Rhinolophus ferrumequinum: one gene and its partner. The protein of the gene in region 2 interacts with the protein of the main gene of each other region in a biochemical or structural test. Links are inferred from orthologs where the notes say so. Each region holds a gene or a part of one and is shown on either strand. Other genes may lie near its edges.

Region 1 (10,343 bases), on a different chromosome or scaffold from region 2:
CCGTCTTTGATGCCCAGGTGCCTTCTCTCTCCAGTGTTACAACATCAATCCTCCTAATAGCTCGGCCAGGGAAGGGCCATGTTGCTAAACATATTTTTCAGATATTAGAGTTTTTGTCTCCAGAGGGAACCTAAGCACCCAGGACCCTGGACACCCCCAGGGCAGGGTGCTGCCTCTGGGCCCCATGGTTGTCCCCCGATCAGCCCAGCCCAAGCCCAGTTCACAATACAAAGCCGCAGAGGTTAGAAGCCAGCTCTCTGCTCTCCCTCTCCCCTGAAATCCCTCCCCCAGTCCCAACACCACCCTTGAGTCAATTTCAGACCTGTTTCTAGAGAGAAAAGAATGGGTTGCGCTAGCTCTCCAGTCGCCCTCCTCCCCTCCCTCCCTCCGTCTCCTTCTCTCAAGTAATATTCTCCTTCAGAGGCCCTTTCTGTACAGCCTGGTGATTACACAGGCTGCAGGGCAATTCTCGGCCTCCCTAACCTCTCCTGGGAGTGGGATCCAAAGCCCAGAGAATGTCAGCGGCTGGAGGAGGCATTGTCCTTCTCCACCTCCTGGAACCTGACCCCTTTCCCTGAGGCTGGTCTTCTTTAGAGAAAACCCATCTGCCAAGAGCTCTGGTCCAGCTGCCCAGGCCCACTCTGACACTGAGCTGGTATCTTTGCTGCAGCCTGCCTCCCAACAAGCTTCTCTGCTCCTAAGGGCTGGGTTTTCATTTCTCTCATCCCCTGGGAGGAAAGAGGATTGGGGTCAAGGGAGGAAAGAGTGAGTTACGCTCTGAGACCTAAGTGACAGCCCCACCTCAACCCTCTAGGGGACCTGGAATCAAGTCCTAGCTGATCTGAATCAGATGCTGCAGTGGGACCTTCCTCCCGTAGTATCAAGAGGCCTCAGAAGCCCCTGCCCAGGGCTCTGACTCCAGCCCACACACCCCCAAATGGCTGCCCACCAGGCAGGAGAGAGGCAGCTTCTCTTACATCCAGAGCCAGCCCTCCCCCCGGGCTACTCGAAGCAAAGGCTGCAGTCACAAGCCAGGCCTCACAGGGCTGAGCTCCAGGAAGCCCTCGAGAGACACGTGCCCTCCCGTCCAGCTGGGCCGTCCAGGGCCCTGCAGAAGGAGGGCCAAGGCTCCCATGTCTTCTTGTAGAGCCCACCCAGCTGCCTCTGCCAATCACCCTGCCAGTCATCTGAAGTGGGCTTTTGGAACGGGGGCTCAGCTTCTGTGTGGTGACTGCAATGTCCTGGCTTGCAGGGACCGTGGTCACCAGTTGAAGGCTGGGCCCTGCAGGTATCTTTGGTGCTTCTCCAGACAGAAGAAGAGCTGTTGCCTCCCTGCCAGCCCAGGGGAGGCAGGGTTTGGTCAGCCCCTCTCCCAAGCCAGGCAAAGTCCAGCCCTGGGAAGCGATCCTTTCTCAAAAGCTGTGTGGCAGGTTTGTTACCACATCTTCCCGGGCTCCATCTCATCTCATTCCCACAGCCCTTTTTTATCTGCAGATGACGGGGGGTTGGGAGAGAGGTGCCATAGCCTTCCCAATGTCACAGAGCTATGGGTGGTAAAGTCTAGAGCCTGTGCCCTCTTCCGAGTACTGCCCATACCTGCCCCACTGGGCACTTGGACTGAAGCTGCTGTGCAGAGCAGGCGACACCCCCCTCCTCAGTGGTACCCTGGCCTTTTGACCCAGGCATCAGAGGTGTGGAGCCTCGTCCCCTTTATTCCAATACAAGCATCCTTAACCTGAGGCCCACCCACAGCCTTCCTGATGTCCTGACATCGCATGCAGCATTTTGTAGTTTTGCGCATTTTCCTGAGGAATGTAGACTTAGCCTTTCATCAGATTCCTGGAGGAATATGTGACCTAAAAAAGGTTAAAAGCACAGATGGTTCTGGAAGGAAGAGGTCTGAAATTGATCAGACAGGTCTGGCCATGCCTGCCACCTGCGGTTTTCCTGCCATGGCCATACCAGGACTCCCTGTCTCCTGAAGTGCTGCTGTGGCCCCTGTCCCTCCAAGGACCCTGGCAGGTAGTGGGGCTGAGGAAGCGCTCTGCCAAATCACCCCCACAGCACCCAGCCTTCAGGATCCCCGTCTCCTCTTGGGGCAAAACATCACTTTCCTTTTCACTTTGAGCACCTGAGTCACATCTCAACTCCATTCCACTGCACTCTGTGACGCATCCCTCCCAGAACCCAGCCTGGATTGCACCTTGAAAGGCAGCTCCCAGCTCATCAGGGAATCCTTGGGGCTCCAGTGGGCACAGGAAACCAGCTGAGAAGGGGGTCCCTGTACATGTCTGATGGACAGCCTCGGTCCTCCAGAGCGTCCCTCCACATTTTCTCCCTGCTCCCCCTACCCCCAGCACAAAAACACGCTCAGAAAGAAATCTGCAGACCAGAGTGAGCACACATCGGCTGCACCTGGGTGTGTGTCTGTATGAGGGAACGAGGGAGCTGGCCTGTAGGTGTCGGATTGCCTGGTGTGCAAGTGTGTGTGTGTGTGTGTGTGTGTGTGTGTGTGTGTGTGTGCAGGCAGCCTGCTTCCATACAGCCACAGGCCCACCTCCCACACATATGCAGACACCAGCCTGAGCTCACACATGCCTACAACACCCACACTCCCACCCAAGCCTGTGGGCCCAGGCCTCACGCGTACGCACATAACACTTCCCGTGTGCACGGCCCTGAGTCCTCACCCAGATGTGCATGTCTGTGACCTCATAGGAGCAGCACTGTGCCCACGTCCCAGATGTGCATCCTTACACAGACATGTCTGCACATGCCCACACCTCACCCACGTCAGCCTGCTGATGGACACACAGCTCTGACCTGCCATACGTGGGCACACAGTGACGCATGTTCACACCTTCACTCGCGTGCAAACCAGCCAACAGCGGCCCTTGTGCCCCTTGCATACAACACCCCCCCCTTGCAGGGCACACTTGCATTCTCAGGCCTTACACATGAAGCACACACCAGCACACCCTCTTGGTGCACACACATGCACACCCTGTCAGCACACACAAGTGTACCCCAGAGACAGTCCTTATACAACACACATCAAATGCACACTTGCGTATGTCCAGATCTCACACCAGCACACCCCTACTTACAGGGCCCCTTTCCCCTGCACTCCTGCTGCTACAGCAAGAACCACCCAGACATTGGAGCTGCTTTGCCCACAGGGCAAACTCTGCCTCCAAGCTGCACCTTTCCCCTGGATCCATCCCCAGATCCTCCACAAACCCTGCCGGAGGCATCCAGCAATGCTTCTGACACTCCACAGCCTGCTGGACTATCCCAAGGGGCTCTCCTCTCCCTCCATCCTCCCACCCATCTCTCCACACCAGTCATGAAAGGCAGAAAATGAGCTTTGGGGCTGGACAACTTTGCCAAGGGCCCAGAGCTGGGGTACCATCACACCACTAACCCCTGCAACAGCAGTGCTCCCCCCAACTTGTCTGATTGCTCTTCCCCTCCTCCCAACACCCAGAAAGCCTCACCAGTCACTCAGTTATTAACCCCTGCAGTACCAATGCCCTCACTTCTAGAGGAGCTGGGAGGGGGAAAGTGGGGAAAGGATGTGCTCACAGGGAGAAGTTGGCCACTCTGCAGAGTCGCTGCAGGTCTCTAAAGTCATGAAGGACTACCTGAGGTGGTAAACTCTCTGTCACCACAGGTATCCAAGTTGAGGCCAGATGGCCACCTCATGAGAAGCTCGACAGGGGGTTCCAGCCTTGGATGCAGCTAACAGGAAAATCCCTTTCTAACCCTGAGTTTCTAAGAATCTGTGTTTGCCCAGGTCGTGTGCGTATGTGTGTGTGTGTGTGTGTGTGTGTGTGTGCACTCCCTGGCATGCACCATCAACCCTTCACCCCTACACACACATTCGTCCAGCTGGCCTTGGCACATCTGTGTACCCGGAAATATGCCCATGGCTCCCTCTGGGCACTCTGCACATACAAGTGCTCCCAAACACATGCAGCCTTCCTCCCTGTTTGAGCACAGGAAGCACCGCATGTGTACATCCCTGCCCGTGGCACCAATCCCCTGTGCCCTCCAGGACTCTGGGGTGCAACTCACTTTCCCAGTTCCTCGAAGAGCTGGTACTCTTCCGTGAAGCGAGTGCAGGTGATGGTAGCCATCCTGGCGCTGGGCGGGCAGGCGAGGCTTGGGGTGGAGGACCAGGGCTGGGGTACTGCTGTTCTGCTCCCGGAACTAGGGGCCACTCGCCTGCCTGCCCGTGCTTCCGAGTGAGAACCTAGAACCGGCTTGACTGACGAGCCCCAGGCTTCTGAGCAGGGCACTGTGGCTGCTCACAGCCTCGCGAGCCTTCGTCAGCATCCAGGTCCCCATGGCAACCACCTCCGAAACGCCCTGTTCCCGTTGCCCCGGTAACTGCCTCCCCAACACCTGCCTGCCTTCCAGTATGAAACCTGCTCCAGGACGCCCTGGCCCAACCGCACACAATACTGCAGGCCAGTGTGGGCCCAGAGGCAGGTGGACCCAGCACCCCCACCCCCACCCCCGAGGTGAGGGACCGGGGGAGGGGCTGTAGCAGGGGGAGGAGAACAAACTTAGTGCACAAGTGATCTCTGTTCCCACCTCCCCCACCTCCAACTGTGGGGCCTTCATAGCAGACAGGATGGGATTAAGTGGGGCAAAAAGGCAGTTGCCATGGTAACAGTGGATGCCACAGTCCGGGATGGTCCCCAGGAAAGACAGGATGCAGTTACCCTGGCAACTTCATCTCTGGAGAGACAGGTATTGCCCCGTTGTCTTGGCAACAGCCGGATTCTAAGGTTTACAGGGAAACGGTGGCTAATTCTTTGGGATCTCTCTCTGGATCACCATAGTCTCTGTAACTGTCTCTCTGCTTCCCTCTGCATTTATTTTTTTTCCTCTGCCTGTCTTTCTCATTTCACTCTTGCTCTCTCTGCACTTTGACACCTTGGCCATCACACTGGCACTCTAACTTGGGGAGGAAGTGCAGAGGAGAGGAGACACTAGGATTCTGGAGGGAACAGCCCTGGCTACCCGCTCACCCTCACCCCTCACAGCTGTAACAGTTGATCCCCTCCTGAGGCCTCTTCCATAACCTCTCCCCCATGCCATGCCCCCAGAGGGACCATGGAGATCCAGTCTCCTGGGGCTCATGTCCCAGATTCTGCTTGTGCTTCAAGTCAAGGTGAAAGAGGTGGAGGAGGCAGTGGGGAGGGGAGCATGGCCTGGCATGGAGGGGCGTGGCCATGGAGCTCTCCTGAAATCCTCATTCCCAAATTGTGTGGTTACTTTCCCAGCCGACTTAAGCTCTTCAGGGCAATAGCCATATCTGTGGCCCCAAAATCTTACCCCGAGTCCTGGGGGGTTAAGGAAGAAGGAGACTGGAGTTTAAGGACCTGAGTTCAATTCCACATCCAACACTTATTAGCTGTGTGACCCTGGGTAAGTCACTGCCCCTCTCTGAGCTCCCAGCTCCTTTTCTACATAAGAGAACAAAGCTGCGACTGCAGAGGAAGGCTGTGAAGATGGAGTGGATTAATGACTGTGGAGGCCTCCTTTTAGTCTCTAAAAGAGGAAAGGGGACTGTCTAAAGCAGGACCATGGCCGCCTGCATCCCTCCAACTTGGACTTAGAATCTCAGACCCTTCACACCCTCCTCCTCCACTCAAGGGCACTTCACAGCCCACCAGGCTGAGGTCTCATGCCAGCATTTGCCCACAATGAGCACAGGTCAAATAACGGGATCCAAACCCTCTGGGTTCCTAGCCCACCTCCTCTGAACCTCCAAATTGCCTTCCTGGTCACTTCCCTTGCTGGACACGGTGTCTGCTTGTTGGTAAGCCCCAAACCCAGCAGGTGCCTGGAGACATTGAATACCCCCTCCCCTGAATTCTGCCCTTCTTCCTGGGAGCCAGGGGTGGGAATAATGAGGTTGGCTCTCCGAGGCAGCCATTTCTTCCCAGGAGAGAAACGTGAGGAGGGCAGAAGGGAAGGGTGGGGAGGCGAACAAGGGAGGAAGGGTAATGGCTTAGCCACTAATTGCACCATTACCACCTTCAGTAAAAGGAAAAACCACTCAGTTTTGTTTTTTTTTCCTCTGCGCACAATATGCTTCCCGCTTCTGCCGCCAACGTTGCAATTCAGAGGCAAAGAAGAGAGGCCTGTGCTTGGGGCGCACAGCCAGTGGGCAGCAGGCAAAACAAGGAACATGTAGAGGCTAGAGGCGTAAAGTGGAGAAGTGGGGGAAGGGCTGTACCACCAGCTCCTGCCCCCAGACCCTCTAGCCCATCCCCAGGAGGGGATGGCTTCCAACATGAAAGTTCTGGAACAGCCCTTAATGACCCCTGAAGCCACCCAGTCATTGCCCGGGAGAGAGGGGAGGCAGTGTTGAGCAGTGGTTAGAGAGACTCCACAGCCTACAGGCTGTGCGATTTTGAATGAGTACCCTAAATTCTCTGTGCCTCTGTTTCTTCATCTGCAAAGGAGGTAGGAAATCATCAGTACCACGGGACTCAAACGGCCCTCCCCCTTCACACTGCTCTCTGCACCATGGAAGCACACACCATCTTCAAGTCCCAGCACTTTGAGGTGTCGTTCTCTGAGTCCCCACTGGAGTGGAGCTCAGGATTGGAACATCACCTTGTCCAAGCCTGGTTTGCAGCAATTCCTATAGAACAAAGGACTGAGGCAAGAGGTCACAAGGTCACAAGGCCTGAGGCTATATTAATGGGACTATAATGTTCTGAAAAAAGGAGGTCATAGTGCTACTTGGCTGGGTGCTGGCCTCACCACCCTGTTTCCTCCCCTTCACCTCCCATGAAATGGGGCATGTTAGGAAGAGAGCAGAGCACATGGGGGAGGTACCTCCATCATCACGGGAAGAGCCAGCGATGACTCAGAGGAGGATATAAAGGGACCGAGGCCTCGATGGCCAGCTTTCTCCCTGCCTGTGACAGCGACCATGGAGTTGACCTATGTGGCTTCAGGGTGCAGGGCCAGCCCAGCCCCACTCCACCCTTCACTGCTGTTCCCTTGTCCATCCGTTCTTCCCTACTTCCATCTCTCGTTTCAGCTCTCCTTTTTTCTTTATCTCACCTTTCCCCCATTTTCTTCCTTCCTTCCCTTGAGCCCTTCCTCCTCGGTGCTCCCTATCCTTCCCGTTCCGTTTCACCTCCTGTCTTGTTTCTGCCTCCCTTCTTCTGTCACTCTTCTTTTCCTCCCAGTGCTGGCCCATACCCTGTGCATTTGGTCCTGGCGGACGCACAGGACCCAGGCCGCAGGATCCTGATGGTGGAGAGATGGCTGGAGAGGAGCGATGGAGGGAGGGAGAGAAGGGAGACCAGGAAGGAACAGGTCTCCTCGGCAACTCTCCACACACACACACACACACACACACACACCCCTCCAAACCTTCAAGAGCTTAGTGCAGGGGTGTGGGCACTGCCTTGGACCGCACCCCCATTCTGAGTGTAACTGCCACCCTGCCAAGGAGGCACTGTTAATTCACTGCCTCCTCTTGTGCCTGAAAGGCTGGCAGCTGTGCCCAGTGGTAGCGGGCAGCGAGGAGCCGGCCCTGCCTCCATGGCTCTGAGAGAATGAGCCGATGCTTGCATCAGGAGGACTGTTCCTGCCAAACTCTCTCCTCCCCAGGGCCACTCCGCAGGCAGGCGAGCCAGCACGTGTGCCCCCATCTGCAACATGCGTGCGGTACTCAAGAGCAGACCTACATGCCACGGGCTGGTGGCCAGGGGTGGGAGCCCTCCAGGTCGCTGAGCACAGCTCTGACACTCTAGGATAGGGAACATGAAAGTGAATACCGGGTGTAAGCCATGAGGATGGGGAGGGACAAATGGGGACCGGGGCCACGGTGGAGGGGGCTGGGAGGAGATCAGAGCCTTAGTAGCATTGTGACAGCCAACTCAAATCCCTCCTTCCCCGGCCCATACACATGTTCACGTGCACATGCTCGAGTGCCTCAGGGTCCTGCAGGGCCTGGGCAGGCACCACAGAAAACGTGACATCCAAAGGGTCCCCGCGAGGCCTGTCCCACTAAGGGCAGTGAGCATAAGGGGCAGAATCGGTGGAAAGTGGGCCAAGAGAGAAATGATCCTGCAGAGGGTCTGGGCAGAGTGTGATTTGATTAATTCATTGCAGTAAATAATGCTAGACTTGTACTCAGAAGGCAGAGAAGTCAGGGGTCAGGGAGCAGCACTGTCCCCTGAGGCATCCCACGTAGGAGGCAATCATTGCAAGGAAGAGGGAAGCAGGGAGCCAAGAGGCAGAGGACAACGGCTACTATAGCAGCGTCTGCACAGCACAACCGACGGTCAGAGGACCCAAGATCAAGTCCTGCCATTGGCTGTGAGTGCCCATGGCACATCTTTTCCCCATTGGGGTCTCTACTTCCTCCTAAGAAATATGGGGACAAGATGTTCCTTCATGGACTCCAAGAACAGGAAAAATACTTATTTCCACTTTCAAGCCAGGCCCTGTGCTAAGCACTTACTGCACTATTTATACTTCACAAGGAACGTCTGTGAGACATATATGATCATTGCCCGTTTTGCAGAGACATGACGTGACTTATCCATCTGGGATCTGTGTGACTTCAGCACACTGCCCTGGATTCTTTGGCCTCCACTAGAGCTAGACGGACCCTGAGGGAGCCCATGTGCCCTACAGATGGGGGACCAAGGCCCAGGGAGAGAGGAAGCTGCCTTTCTGCAGTCACACAAGTTCAGGGACAGATCAGGACAATTCAGAACCCTAACTCCCAGAATAGTGCTCCTCTTCCCCTGCTCTGCCCTCCCTCTTTCTGACACCGCAGGACTGCTTCCCTAGGTCCCAAGGTAGCCAGTAAGCACTGAGTGAGAGGAGGAAATGGGGCCAACGCCCAGGGTGGGGCTCAGAGCTCTACCTCTCCAGCCATGTCTGGGGCTCTCTCCTGGCTCCTAGGGTACTGGTCATCCCTGCCCCGGATTCCATAGGCAGAGCCCAGCTCAAACAGGGCCACCCCCGGCTCAAACCCATCAGGCTGGCAGATCTGGTCCAGCCAAGGGAGAAACAAGGGGCTTATTTGGCATCTCTGGGCTCCAGTCCCCCAGATCTGTGACCCAAGGGGCCCCAGCTGCCTCTGGTCGCCCCTCCCTTGCATCCTTCCCCTCTACAGGTGGTATAAGCATCTGCCTGATGAAGCCAGTCAGGGGCCTGACACAGAGTACAGACCCAGGTGCCCTGACTTGGGGGAACGAGAGGCAGGTAGGGATGGCAGGTGCCATGCTGACTGCTGGACGGAGTAGAAGCCACAGCAAGTGGGCTGAGCCTTTCACCACAATGCCCGTAGTCCTGGTCACTCAACCAGGCCAGCTGCCAGGGCCCCGGTTAGGCAGGCTTGGGCTGCTGGGCTGTGGATCAGGTCTCAGGCTGAAGCTTGAATGGGGCTCCTGGGCTGTTTGCTGGGCTCTGGCTTAGGTGGGACTCAGCCAGGCAAGCTCTAGGCTGGGCTGGAGATTAGACTGAACCTTTCTCAGAAACAGGAGCAGGAGCCCACCACCTCTCCAGGTTTGAGGCCAGGTAGGCCACAGGGAGTGGGTCTTGGTGCCTGGGGGAGAATAGAAAGGGCTTTCTATGGTCCTGCACTTGTGGCCCCAAAAGTCCGGGGCACAAGAAGAGAAACAGGCCTGGAGCTGGAGGCTGGGTCATCTGGGGCAGGGCCTACTCAGCAGGTACAGGCAAGGACTCCACTCAACTGACGCAAGCCTGGAGCTGCAGGGGAGCCCCGCCACTCTGGGAGGGCACAGCCCACACAGTTGGGACAAGCCCCCCGGCAGAGCTAGAGAATCCTGGGTAAAGGGGAGACTGCAGACAACCCCTTTCTGGAGTATCCTGCGCCTGGGACACCATCCCAGTGGGTGACTTCTTCCGAGTCTCCCTCCTAAGCCAGCACGAGGGCTGGCTGAATCCAGAGGCCTCAGCCAGTCCTGCCCTCTGCCCACCACGGCCCCAGCAGCAACTTCCTGGAGAAAGACAAAGGTTCTAGTTGCGGGGCAGCTGTAGAGGTGGAGAACAGGGCTGGGAGCAAGGGCTCCAGGACATGGACAGTCACCTCTGCCCTGCAGCCCCAGGCCAGACACTAACTCCTGGGCTGAGCCACCTCTGCAGGGGGGACGCAGCTCTGTAACTAATACCTGAACCCCCTCCACTGCACCGCACCCCACCCCAGCCCACCCCGCCCCACCCGTCCTGCTTATCCACAAGCTGACGAGTCCTAACAGGCCTCCTTTGCCAGTGACAAAAATAACTATTTTCAAAATTCACAGCAGGGCTTTCGCCTACACACGCCGTGC
Region 2 (10,235 bases):
CATGTGGGCCAAAGGGCATGTTCAATAAACGGAACTCTTTTCCACATGGAATAAATCTGACCCTTCCTCTAGGAAACCAATTCTACGTTTTCCTCTTGCAATTTGTGGGAATAATCCATTTCTTTTGTTCCTGTCAGGAGCGGTGCCTGATACTAGAAACCACGTAAAAGCCACACCGTTCTATGATGGGTGTGTGCAGACCAAGTCCGGTTGGAGTTAGGGATGGACACACAGTCATGGACTGTCACTCATCCAAAAAACAGCAAAGCCAACAAACCTCTCCCCCAAATTGTCCAAAGGCGAATCCCAAAGAGTCAAGCCAGGTCATTGCAGAAAACCAACCAGAAGCAAATAAATGTCTGTCAAGGAATTGATTAGCTTCAATATTCACTCTGGACTGGGCACCGGGAGGGACGTTTATTTTATTAATATTTATTCGTTCAGAGGAAGGGTTTGGAGAGGGGAAAACGGATTAACAATTCTTATGTGGTAAACATAAGCAGCATCACAAAACGAAAAATAATCCCTTAATTAATTATGACAGGAAAGGCATTTCTCGTTCTTTCGGAGGACGGGTCACATGGAGGGAAAGGGATCTGATAAAAATTCAAAGCCCTCCTGCTGAGCCTGAGCGCGCACGTAGGCCTGGCAGTCGCTGTCTCAGGTGCCGTCCTCCATCCCAACTCGCACCAGCCCAAGACCCGGGCTTGGAGTTAGAGGTTCCTGTGCGCCGAAGGCCAAGTGGGGTCTCCCGGGATGTAAAAGTGCCCCGACCTGCTGGGGATTCCGAGACAGGACGTTTCCGGCTGGCTCAGCGCTCCACAGTCGGAGCGTGTGCACAGACGCTGCATCCCTCCACATCTTGGGGGGTTGTCGTTTAGTTACAGCGCGCGCAGAGCCAGGGATGGAGTTTCCTGATCGGGTATGAAGGACCATTCTCTGGCCGCCGGGATTCCTCCATTCACAGCCCCCAGACCTTGCAAACCCGAGAACTCCACCAAGCCACCTACAGATCCCAAAATGGAGCGAAATCGCAAACGCGTGCACGGCGCTTTGTTCCAGGTATTGGGCTAAATGCGCTCGCCCCCGCCGGGTTCCCTTTCCCCCAAGCGACAGGAGGTGACACCCGCCTGTGGTCTGCCCCAGGCCGCGGGCTCCCAGTTCCATGGCCGCCCCTCGCCCCTCACTCTGTCTGGAACCAGAATCCCATGTTCAGCTCGGGAGGAGGGTGGCTAGAGGGGAAAAGATGCTGGAATCGACCCTTGAGCCTGTCCAGCAACCTGCCGGTGGCGAGCCCAGCTCTGCGGAGGCGGGGAGTGGGGCGGGAAGGGAGGGGAGAGCAGAGCCGCGGCTCTGACCTGACAGCCACAGCCGGGAAGGTTTGGCCAGGCCCGGGGGAAGACTCTCGACTCCGAGCCGAGCCATTCCCCGGATATTCAGATCAATCTGCGCGGCTTGCGTGGATGATTCGGCCCCTAAAATGCTCGTCCCTCTCAGAACAGCGCCCTCGCGCCAGTTTTCAGCGATGTAATTAACCAGAAAGACGCGCGGACCCGGGCCGTTACAGAAGGGCAAGGCTCGGCCTTGTTCGCCAGGGGTCGGTACCCCACTCCTCTCCCCTCGTTCCCTTTTCCAAGGGCCGCAGTGAATTCGGGTTCCTAAGTGATAAGTGATATTCGGCCACAAGAATAATAATACACCAGGGACGCCTGTCTGGGAGCCGATGGCCGCGGGAAGCCAATTAGGAAGAGCCAACGGCTCCAGTTTGTGGGTTTCCCTACGGAGCCCCCAGAGGGGGCACGGCTCTTGGTACCCGGGAGTTCTAATTCTCCGATCGGAAGGGGCGGGGCAACGCCCCAAAGGCTGTTCTCAAGACGCGTGTTGTTTCCAAGGCAACACCTCCCCTAACGACCCCCTCCCAGTCGGCTCCGGAAAAATGGGTGTGGCCCGCAGCAACCGGGGAAACCTCTTGCCCCCTCCTCACTTTCTCCCGCCTGGCCAGGCAACAGGGAGTGAAGCGGGGAGGGGATCCCGCTTGCGTGCCCCCTCCTACCGCCCCCTCGGGTGCCCCTCCGGGGGCAGCCTGGTGGGGTATGGGACCCAGGACACTCGGGGCATGGGGAGGGGCGTTGTCCCTCCGCTGACACCCGCACAGCGCAAGGAGACCCGGAATCCCACCCCTGCGGCCCCGCGGATGCTTCCTGGCGGGCGGCCTGGCTCTGATAGTGGGCCGGGCAGGGTCAAGCCGGTTCCACGCGTACCTCCGAGGCCGTGACTCGAGTTCATCGACTCCAGCAAGCCCCGAAATCTAACAAAGGGCTCAGAAATGAGGGGCGAAACACGGGAGAAGGGGCGGGGGGGGCCTTGGTTAAACACCCTTATAAAATAAAAGGCAAAAACCCAGGCTGGCAACGCTGATCACGTTAGCCCTACAAACAAAGCAGCGAGCCACCAGGAAAATCTCGAGGGAACGCCCCCAAAGCTCAAGCCCTCAGCAGCAAAACGCCACGATTTCAGCGCTGAATGCACCCTCCACCCACCCTTAATGACAGTCCCCGCCTTGCCCTTCGAAGCCCGGCCACCCGGCTTGGTGTGGTACCGTAAAGACATGGCACGCCGCAAAAAGATGGCACCTCGCGATCGGAGGGGGAAAAAAAGCGGGGGTGGGAGTGGGAGGAGGCACAGCCTACCCTCCCCCTCCTCGCCCACCCGGGTCCACACCCACTGCCGCAGTGAGGGGCGAGCCCTGCGCGCCAGCCCCGCGCCTCCGGCAGGGAGCGCACACGCCGGACGCCGGGCGCAGAGCGCAGAGAAAGGGGACCGCCCCGAAGTGCACCTGCAGCCTCTGTGCCGATCTGTGAGGGGCTGGGGCTGTGAGCGCCCGCGAGGCAGGATCCGCGGGGCCGAGTCCCTCCACAGAGCAAGGCCAGGTGACCCCTGTCTTTCGAGCCTCCACATCTCTCCGCGCACTGCCTTCTCTCGGGCACAGCGCTGCTCGCGTCTCGGTGCCAGGCGCGCGCAGGGGGAAGGGCAACTAAAGTGACAGCGCCTGGACCCCTCCCCAACTCCCCGATTCCACTCCCAGCCCCCAAATGTCCCCTGCGGGTTTCTGAAGGAGGAAAACGGGGAGGGAGGTGGGCCACCGCCTTAAATCAGGGACAGCGAAAAGCCCCATTGGAATTGCTGCCGAGGAGGTGAAGGGAGGGGCAGGCAGGGAGTCATCTTTTCTAGAACCCAATCCATACCTTCCTTAGGGCTGATGGCAAACCGAGACAGAGAAATCGGATTCCAGATCGATTTCGGGGGTCGTCATTGGACGCCCCCGGACACACACTTAGACACACGCCCATTGCGGCAAAAGGCGGCGATTGAGAGTGTATAGCAGCCCCCTCCCCCAGGTCACCGCCACCCGCGCCCCACCCTGCGGGCACCTCTGCCCGGGTCCGCGCGAAGCGGGTCTTGTGGAACCCCAGCACACACACGCACACACACACACATACACACTCACACGCGTGTGTGCATCTCTTGCATGGGTGCGTTTCCAAGCCACCCCAGGCCCAGCCCCGGAGCACCGAGGGCGCAAGGAGGGGCCCCCGCCGTTGCCCCCGACCAATGCTCACCTCAGGAAATCCATCTCTGAGGCAGGGGGCGAGGGGCGGCAACATGGGGGCGCAGGAGGCGGACGGGGAGGCACCTTTCGGAGCCTCGCGCTTACCTGATAGTCGACAGAGAGCGAGGGCAGAAGAGGAAAGCAGAGGATAAAGTGTCTGGTGGCGGCGGCAGAAGGTGGGCGGTGGCGGCGGTGCTGCTGCTGGTGCCGGAGCTGGTGGGTGACGGAGACTGCGAGCGCGCGCACCAGCGAGGGCGCGCTCCCGAGACCGGCGGGCGGCGCAGGCGCGAGCAGCGGGAACGCGAGTCTTCCCTGAGGAGGGGCGGGCGGCGAGGCCTCCGCAGGCGTCTTCTCCTCCGGCCACTAGTGGGCGCGCGCGAGCGCCTCACGGCTCGCTGTCCCCAGCCTCCTGGCTCGCTGCTCCCGGCGCTTCCCTTCCCTGTCTTTCCTCCCCCCACGACTCGGGCCGCGGCACGGACTGCCACGCGCACGCGCGCTCCGTGGCGCACGCGTGCTCTGGGTCACCTCTGGCGGCTGGACCCTTTGTCTGGTCTGAAGGGTCTTCTCCCTCGGGAGGGAGGCTTGGTTTCCTACTGTGGTTGGAAGAGGCTGCGGTGCTCCGCTTCCAGATCTGCTGCCCTTTTCCTTTTTGTCCCGGGAGTGATGTCCTATCTCAGAACGTCCTGGGCGGGTTTCCACATGACCGCTCCCCAGAGGGTCCACCCCAGTCCTCCAAGTTTGGCCGGCTTATCGCTACCGGGCACCCTGACCCTCCTTTGAGTCTCCGGAAATGGTCCCCCTTGTTGGAGATCAGTTTCCCTGGGCCTGCTTCCTTTCAACCTGCTTTTTTTCCATCTTTTTTGTTATTGATCAAGGTGAATGCTTTCCTTCGCCAATCCTCATCAAACAGGCTAATTCAGTTGTAAGAGTAGTGTTGTGGTGTTTTTTTTTTTTAACAAGGACCATTTCCATCTATTTTTTAACGGTGTCCGAGAATAAAATCTTAGACAAAGGTCCAAATGGCGGCGCTAATCACATTGCAAAGCATTTTCACACATACAGTTATTTTGATCTTGTTTCTTGACACACGGTTATACTGTAAGTAGAGTTTGAGATCGGAAGTGCTAAGTGCTCATGGAGATTCTCACCTAGATAACACACTGAAACTGACCAGAAGTTTTCATTCTCCTGGTCACCCAGTTCCCAGCATTGGCCTGTGAAGAAAGAGATGACATGCCCAAAATGGAGTCACTTGTGCTATGCCACTTCACCAAAACGAAAACTATTAATAAATACCTCATTGCAGTTTCAGCCTCTCCCAGGAGTGGAATTTTAAACCACCAATCAGTCTGGAATTTCCTGATCAACACTAGTGAGAGGTAATCTGCCTAATAAGACCCTTTCCGCCCTTCCCTCAAAGAAAAGTGCCCTTGGCTGAAAAGATCCTTTCTTTCCTTTTGGTAATAACTTTCTTGTCCTGCCCACTGCCAGCCTATAAAAACCTACCAACTTCTCAGGGCTCCTTTCTACTTGGCTGGATGGGATGCTGCCTGATGTATGCATTGCTCAAGAAAGCCAATTAGATCTTTAAAATCTACTCCATTGAATTTGGTTCTTGAACGGATCTTAGCTTGGTCTCCCCAACATCTAATGTAAGCCCTGGCAGTGGGAGGCTTTATAAGTATGGGAGTTTGGTGGGGGGCATCTTGTCCTAGGGAGATGGGAACTTGTTTTGAAGCTTTAATTTGCATGGCTCTTACATTTATATTTTTTAAATCAATATTTTTTGTTATAGATTAATACAAAAAGCAGGCTATTAAAAATTTTTTATTGACGGGGAAGCACTGGGTGGATGCTAGAGATGGGGCACATTTCTTAAACGACTCGTTCTGAATCTCTGGTGACCTTTTTGTTGTCCCAACTCTCATGGTCCTCGTTAAAGACTCTTACCTTGGCACTGGACATGTAGTGACCTTACCGGTCTCCCTGCTCTCTGTTTCTCCCTGTATCAGCCCACCTTGAACCCCCTAATCAGACAAATCTTCAGAAGCAATCGTTTTAATCACGACACTCTCTTGCTCAAAAATATCTAAAGGCTTCTAACTGACCCCTAAGTGAAGTGAAACTTCTTAGCCTTAAATTCCTCAGCATTCAAACCCTCTGTCCCTCCCCACCCCCTCATCTGAGCCCCTGTCCTCTCCAGTTTTCTCTTTCATCTACTCTATGACCAACTTAGCTTGTTTGATTGGAACTCTTCCCCACCTCAACTCGGGGGTTTTCCTCTGCTTACAAAGTCCTTGCTCTTTCTCCATGCACCAAATATCCTATTTAACCTTCAAACCCTCGCTCAAATGTTCTAAAGCCTTGTAATCACCCCAGCTGGAAGGGATATCTCCTCTAGGAAGGCTTAGCAAAGTTACTCATCTCTGAAGTGAAGGGGAGAGAGGAATTAATATCAGTCTTGCAAGACTGCAGCTTCATTATTGCTGCCAATTGTGTCCTTTCTCCTTTTCCTGTATGGGGATTATCTGTCCTTTCCTGTTACCCTGTGATCTGTACTGCTCCCACTCTCCACTCCCAGACCACTCATATTTGGTCTGGCCACGTGGTGGTCTGTGGCAACTAGAACTAAGGGGCATGATGTAGACATGTCCAACGAAAAGCTTTAAGAGGCATTGTGAGTTTCTACCACTTTTACTTGTCCCCTGCACCACCGCGATGGTCCCCTCCACCACCAGAATGGCATGCCCTGTGGGGCTGCTCCTTCAGCATAGGTCCCAGAATGAACAGACACAAGGAAGTACATATAACATGTATAGTAACATGAGCAAGAAATAGACATTTACAGGGTGAGTCACTGAGATTCTGAGGGATGTTTGTTATCACAGCAAAACTACAGTTTAATCCCCATTATATATATTATATATATATTAAACTGTATGTATATATATATATTTTATACACAGTATGTGTGTGTAAAGTTTCTCATGTAAAGTACCTGACAAATAGTGGACATCCATTAAATGATAACTAGCAGTTATTTCAGCATCCCCATCAGTGCTTTGGCTATACATTCTTTCTATATGTAAAATAAACTGTAGCAGTCAAATTAACACTCCTCCCATTCAATTTTCTCGTTTTCTTTCCTTTAAGAACTGACTGGGACCCGATAACACAGTGATCTCCTGATACTGAATGAACACATTTGCCTACATTCAATTGAGGTAATGAATGCTAGAAACCATCTTAAGCAGATCCATCATTTAACTGTATGTAATGTGGAGCTGAGTGTTCATTCCAGATAATTTAATCACTGGAGGTAGCTAATGGCTCTCTAGGTCAAGAAAATGCATCCTCTCCCTTTCTCCCTGCCCCTCCCTCTTGCTGAAATAGAGATCTGGCCAATTCAGCACGCAAGGCCCATCACAAAGAAGCATAGAAGGTAGAATCGCACAGGGAAAGAGAACTGGATTAGGTTTCAAAAGAGTTGGGTCCCAATCTTAGCTGTGCTGTGTGATCTTTGACAAATTCATTAACTTCTCTGGGCTCCCATTTTTTTATGTAGCAGTGTCCCAGGTAGGATTGGAACTAAGAGTCCGATACCTATAGAATTTATAAAAGTCCAAACAGGAAAAGAATACATGGATCTAGGAACCAAGGAGTGGAAGCTGAAGTGGTCCCACTTCCCAACATTCCCAGGTGACCCCAGGGGGGAATCTGAGCTTCCCATCCTCACTAGTGTAGGCTCTGCAGGGATAGAGGTCCCCCAAAGGGGAAGCTTCCACCAGGGGACACAGCAAAGGTTTCACTGAACTATAAGCGATGGCTGCTGCCTGAGCACTTTGGGTCCAGAGAGCAGCAGGCAAGAACAGAAGGTACTGTCCTGGCAGGAATAACCGACTTCAATCATCCGCAGGAAGTAGGACTGCTACCAAAACACGGGGAGGATACATTTGTCACTTGGGCACCTCTTGGTATTCCCTTTTGTTAAAAGACAGAAACGTCCACCCTAGCCTGAGAAAGTGTTTTAGTTTCCTGTTGTTGTTGTAACAATGACCCCAAACTTAGTGACTTAAAACAAAGTAAACTCCTTGCCTTCCAATTCTGGAAGTCAGAAGTCCAAAATGAGTCTCATCAAGCAAACCTCATGGGGTGTTGGCAGGACTGCCGTCCTCTTGGAGGTGCAGAGGAAGAGTCTGTTTCCTTGGCTTTTCCAGCTTCTGGGTGCTGCCCTGTTCCTTGGTGGGTGGTCCCCAGCCAGCAATCACATCCCTCCAACCTCTGCTTCTGTTGTCACATCTTCTCTGACTGGGACACTCCTGCCTCCCTGTTTCACTTACAATCCTTGTGATTATACTGGGCCCACCCAAATAATCCAGGATAATCTCCTCATTTCAAGATTCTTAATTTCATCACAGCTTCAAATCCATTTTGCCATATAAGGTAATTTATTCATATGTTCCAAGGGTCAGGACATGAGCATCTTTGATCAGGGCATTACTCTGCTTACCACAGAAGGACATGGTGACTATGGCACCGACCCCTCAGGGAAGAAGATGTCTACGGTAACCCCATATCTAATGGCTGACCGACCCAGGTGGGCAGATAAATGTTCAACCTGGGGCAACTCTGATGGTCCATTTTGGGTTCTGAGATCCCCAGGTGGTTCGCTGAGGCTGGTTGGGCCTGTATCACAGCTTGACTTCTCCTTTTGCACAATCCTGCTTCCTTCCTCTCCCTTCCACAGCTATCGATCCCAAGGGTACTGCCTAAATATCTCGCATGCTGGACTCTGTCTCAGAATCTGCTTCCCAGAGAACCTTGCCTGCATCTTCATGAATGCATTAAATAATAAAATCTAGCAGTGGGTTTAATTACTTTCCCAATTTCAAATAGGGGTAAGTATAAATGACATTTTGAAATATCTCTGACACATGTACCGTGCAAAGAAAATATCTATTAGTGATGAAGTCACAGATACTGTTAATACTACATTGATTACTGAAATGCTAAATTCCAATACAGGTTATAAAAATAAAGGTGAACTTTTTTGTCTCCAAGTTTCTGGACCCTCAGGTTAACAGCCTTTATCTTCTTTTTCTATGTAGTGAGGATTTAATAAGTCCATTAAATTGAATGAAATAAAGGTTACAATGAGGTGAAATGAGCATTTCCTTAATTCTGGGTCAATTCGTTTTATATTCAGTTCTGTGTGACAAAAATGCGAAGCAGCTGTGGTCTAAACAAGACTCAATTGTATTTCTCCAGGAATAGGAGTCAAGGGCTGTTTTAGAAACTCTAAGACCTTCTTGGAGCCCATATCTGTTTATTTCATTTCTGTATCATCCTTCGCTTGCTGTCTCATTAGTCCAAAGTGGCTGCTTCAGCTCCAGACAACACATCCCCAGAAATAAGGAAGAGATAAAAAAGGGAGCATCTCTATCTTTTAAGGACAATTCCTATAAATCACACTTGTTACTCTTGCTAACACCCTATTGGCCAGAATATGTGCATGGCTACACATTGTTGCCACCGAGGCTGGGAAATGTAGTCTTTATTACAGAGGGCCTTGTGATCAGCTACTTGTAAATACCAGATACAGGGGGAGAAGGAGATGTGGAGTATTAGCCACAATTATGCTAAGAAGCCATCTCCCTTAGCAGTTCCTCCTAGCTATGCACGAGCAGCACATTCTTTCCCTTTGAAATATTTTCCTGAAAATACTTTTCATGATAAGGCATTTTCTAGTGAGACAGATGACAGCCTTGAAGACCAACATTTCTTTATTTTCAGTTACAAAGTCAGAGATCCAGATTCCCAGCCTGTTTAGACAGCCCCAAATGTATTTGTTTTGCCTAATTGTGGGCTAGGTATGGTGCTTTGATGAGACACCTACTGTCCTCTCTCAAAGCCAACATAGAGAAATACCAATATAATGCAATTAAATTAGGAAGTGAGTATTAACATTACAGACAAATGCTTTGCTAGACAAAAGGAACCATCACCAGGTTTCCTTAAATGTCAGTTACCCTGTTACAACTGAAATGTGAGTTGATTTACATGCAAGTTTATAAACACCTTAATTATATAAAGTAAGACAGATCTATGCCTTAATTTCTCTAGACTTCTCTTTCATAATTATTCTTTAGGCTCAAGTGTTCCTTTCTGTCTTTATATTTCCTGAATGCCTCCTGCCTACCTCTCCTTCCCTCCATTGCCAGGGCAATGCCAACCCCCTTGTCTAGATTCCCTGGGTTCTGGCAAGAAGCAGGATGAAATGCCAACCGGGGTTTCGGTTACACATGACTCAGCAACACGGCATTCTTGTCAGAAAGGCCAGGATGATCCTGGGCCCAGAAATAGGAGCAGGCATAATAGGTCCATGAGGTCATCCTCTCCTTATATTTGGCTTTGCCCAGACACTCTGGATATCCTGCCTCAGGGAGTGTCAGGTAATGTGGGGAGGATTCAGAGCGGAGCCCCACATACAATACTTGAAAAAAGTTGAGCAGAAATCCCTTTCACATAAACCCTGCCATCAGTTGCACAATCCTACCCTATGGACGATGTAGTCAGAATTCTAAAAATGGGATGTAATGTACACTACTCTGTGGTATATTTGAAA

What was found. The genes of interacting proteins can lie anywhere in the genome.
Region 1: of the proteins of MAPT (region 2) and CAMK2A, one has a biochemical effect on the other in vitro, tested with the Homo sapiens proteins (2 studies listed by BioGRID). The link is inferred for Rhinolophus ferrumequinum from reciprocal best matches to the Homo sapiens genes MAPT and CAMK2A.

Annotation. Positions count from the first base shown.
Region 1 is NC_046307.1:22,513,333-22,523,675, forward strand, and holds the start of CAMK2A (calcium/calmodulin-dependent protein kinase type II subunit alpha), read right to left. Parts: upstream 4,353-10,343; 5' UTR 4,140-4,352; coding exon 4,078-4,139; intron 1-4,077. UniProt on the Homo sapiens protein: Calcium/calmodulin-dependent protein kinase that functions autonomously after Ca(2+)/calmodulin-binding and autophosphorylation, and is involved in various processes, such as synaptic plasticity, neurotransmitter release and long-term potentiation.
Region 2 is NC_046304.1:40,898,760-40,908,994, reverse strand, and holds the start of MAPT (microtubule-associated protein tau), read right to left. Parts: upstream 3,960-10,235; 5' UTR 3,716-3,959; intron 3,712-3,715; exon of another isoform or gene 3,621-3,711; intron 2,943-3,620; exon of another isoform or gene 2,837-2,942; intron 1-2,836. UniProt on the Homo sapiens protein: Promotes microtubule assembly and stability, and might be involved in the establishment and maintenance of neuronal polarity.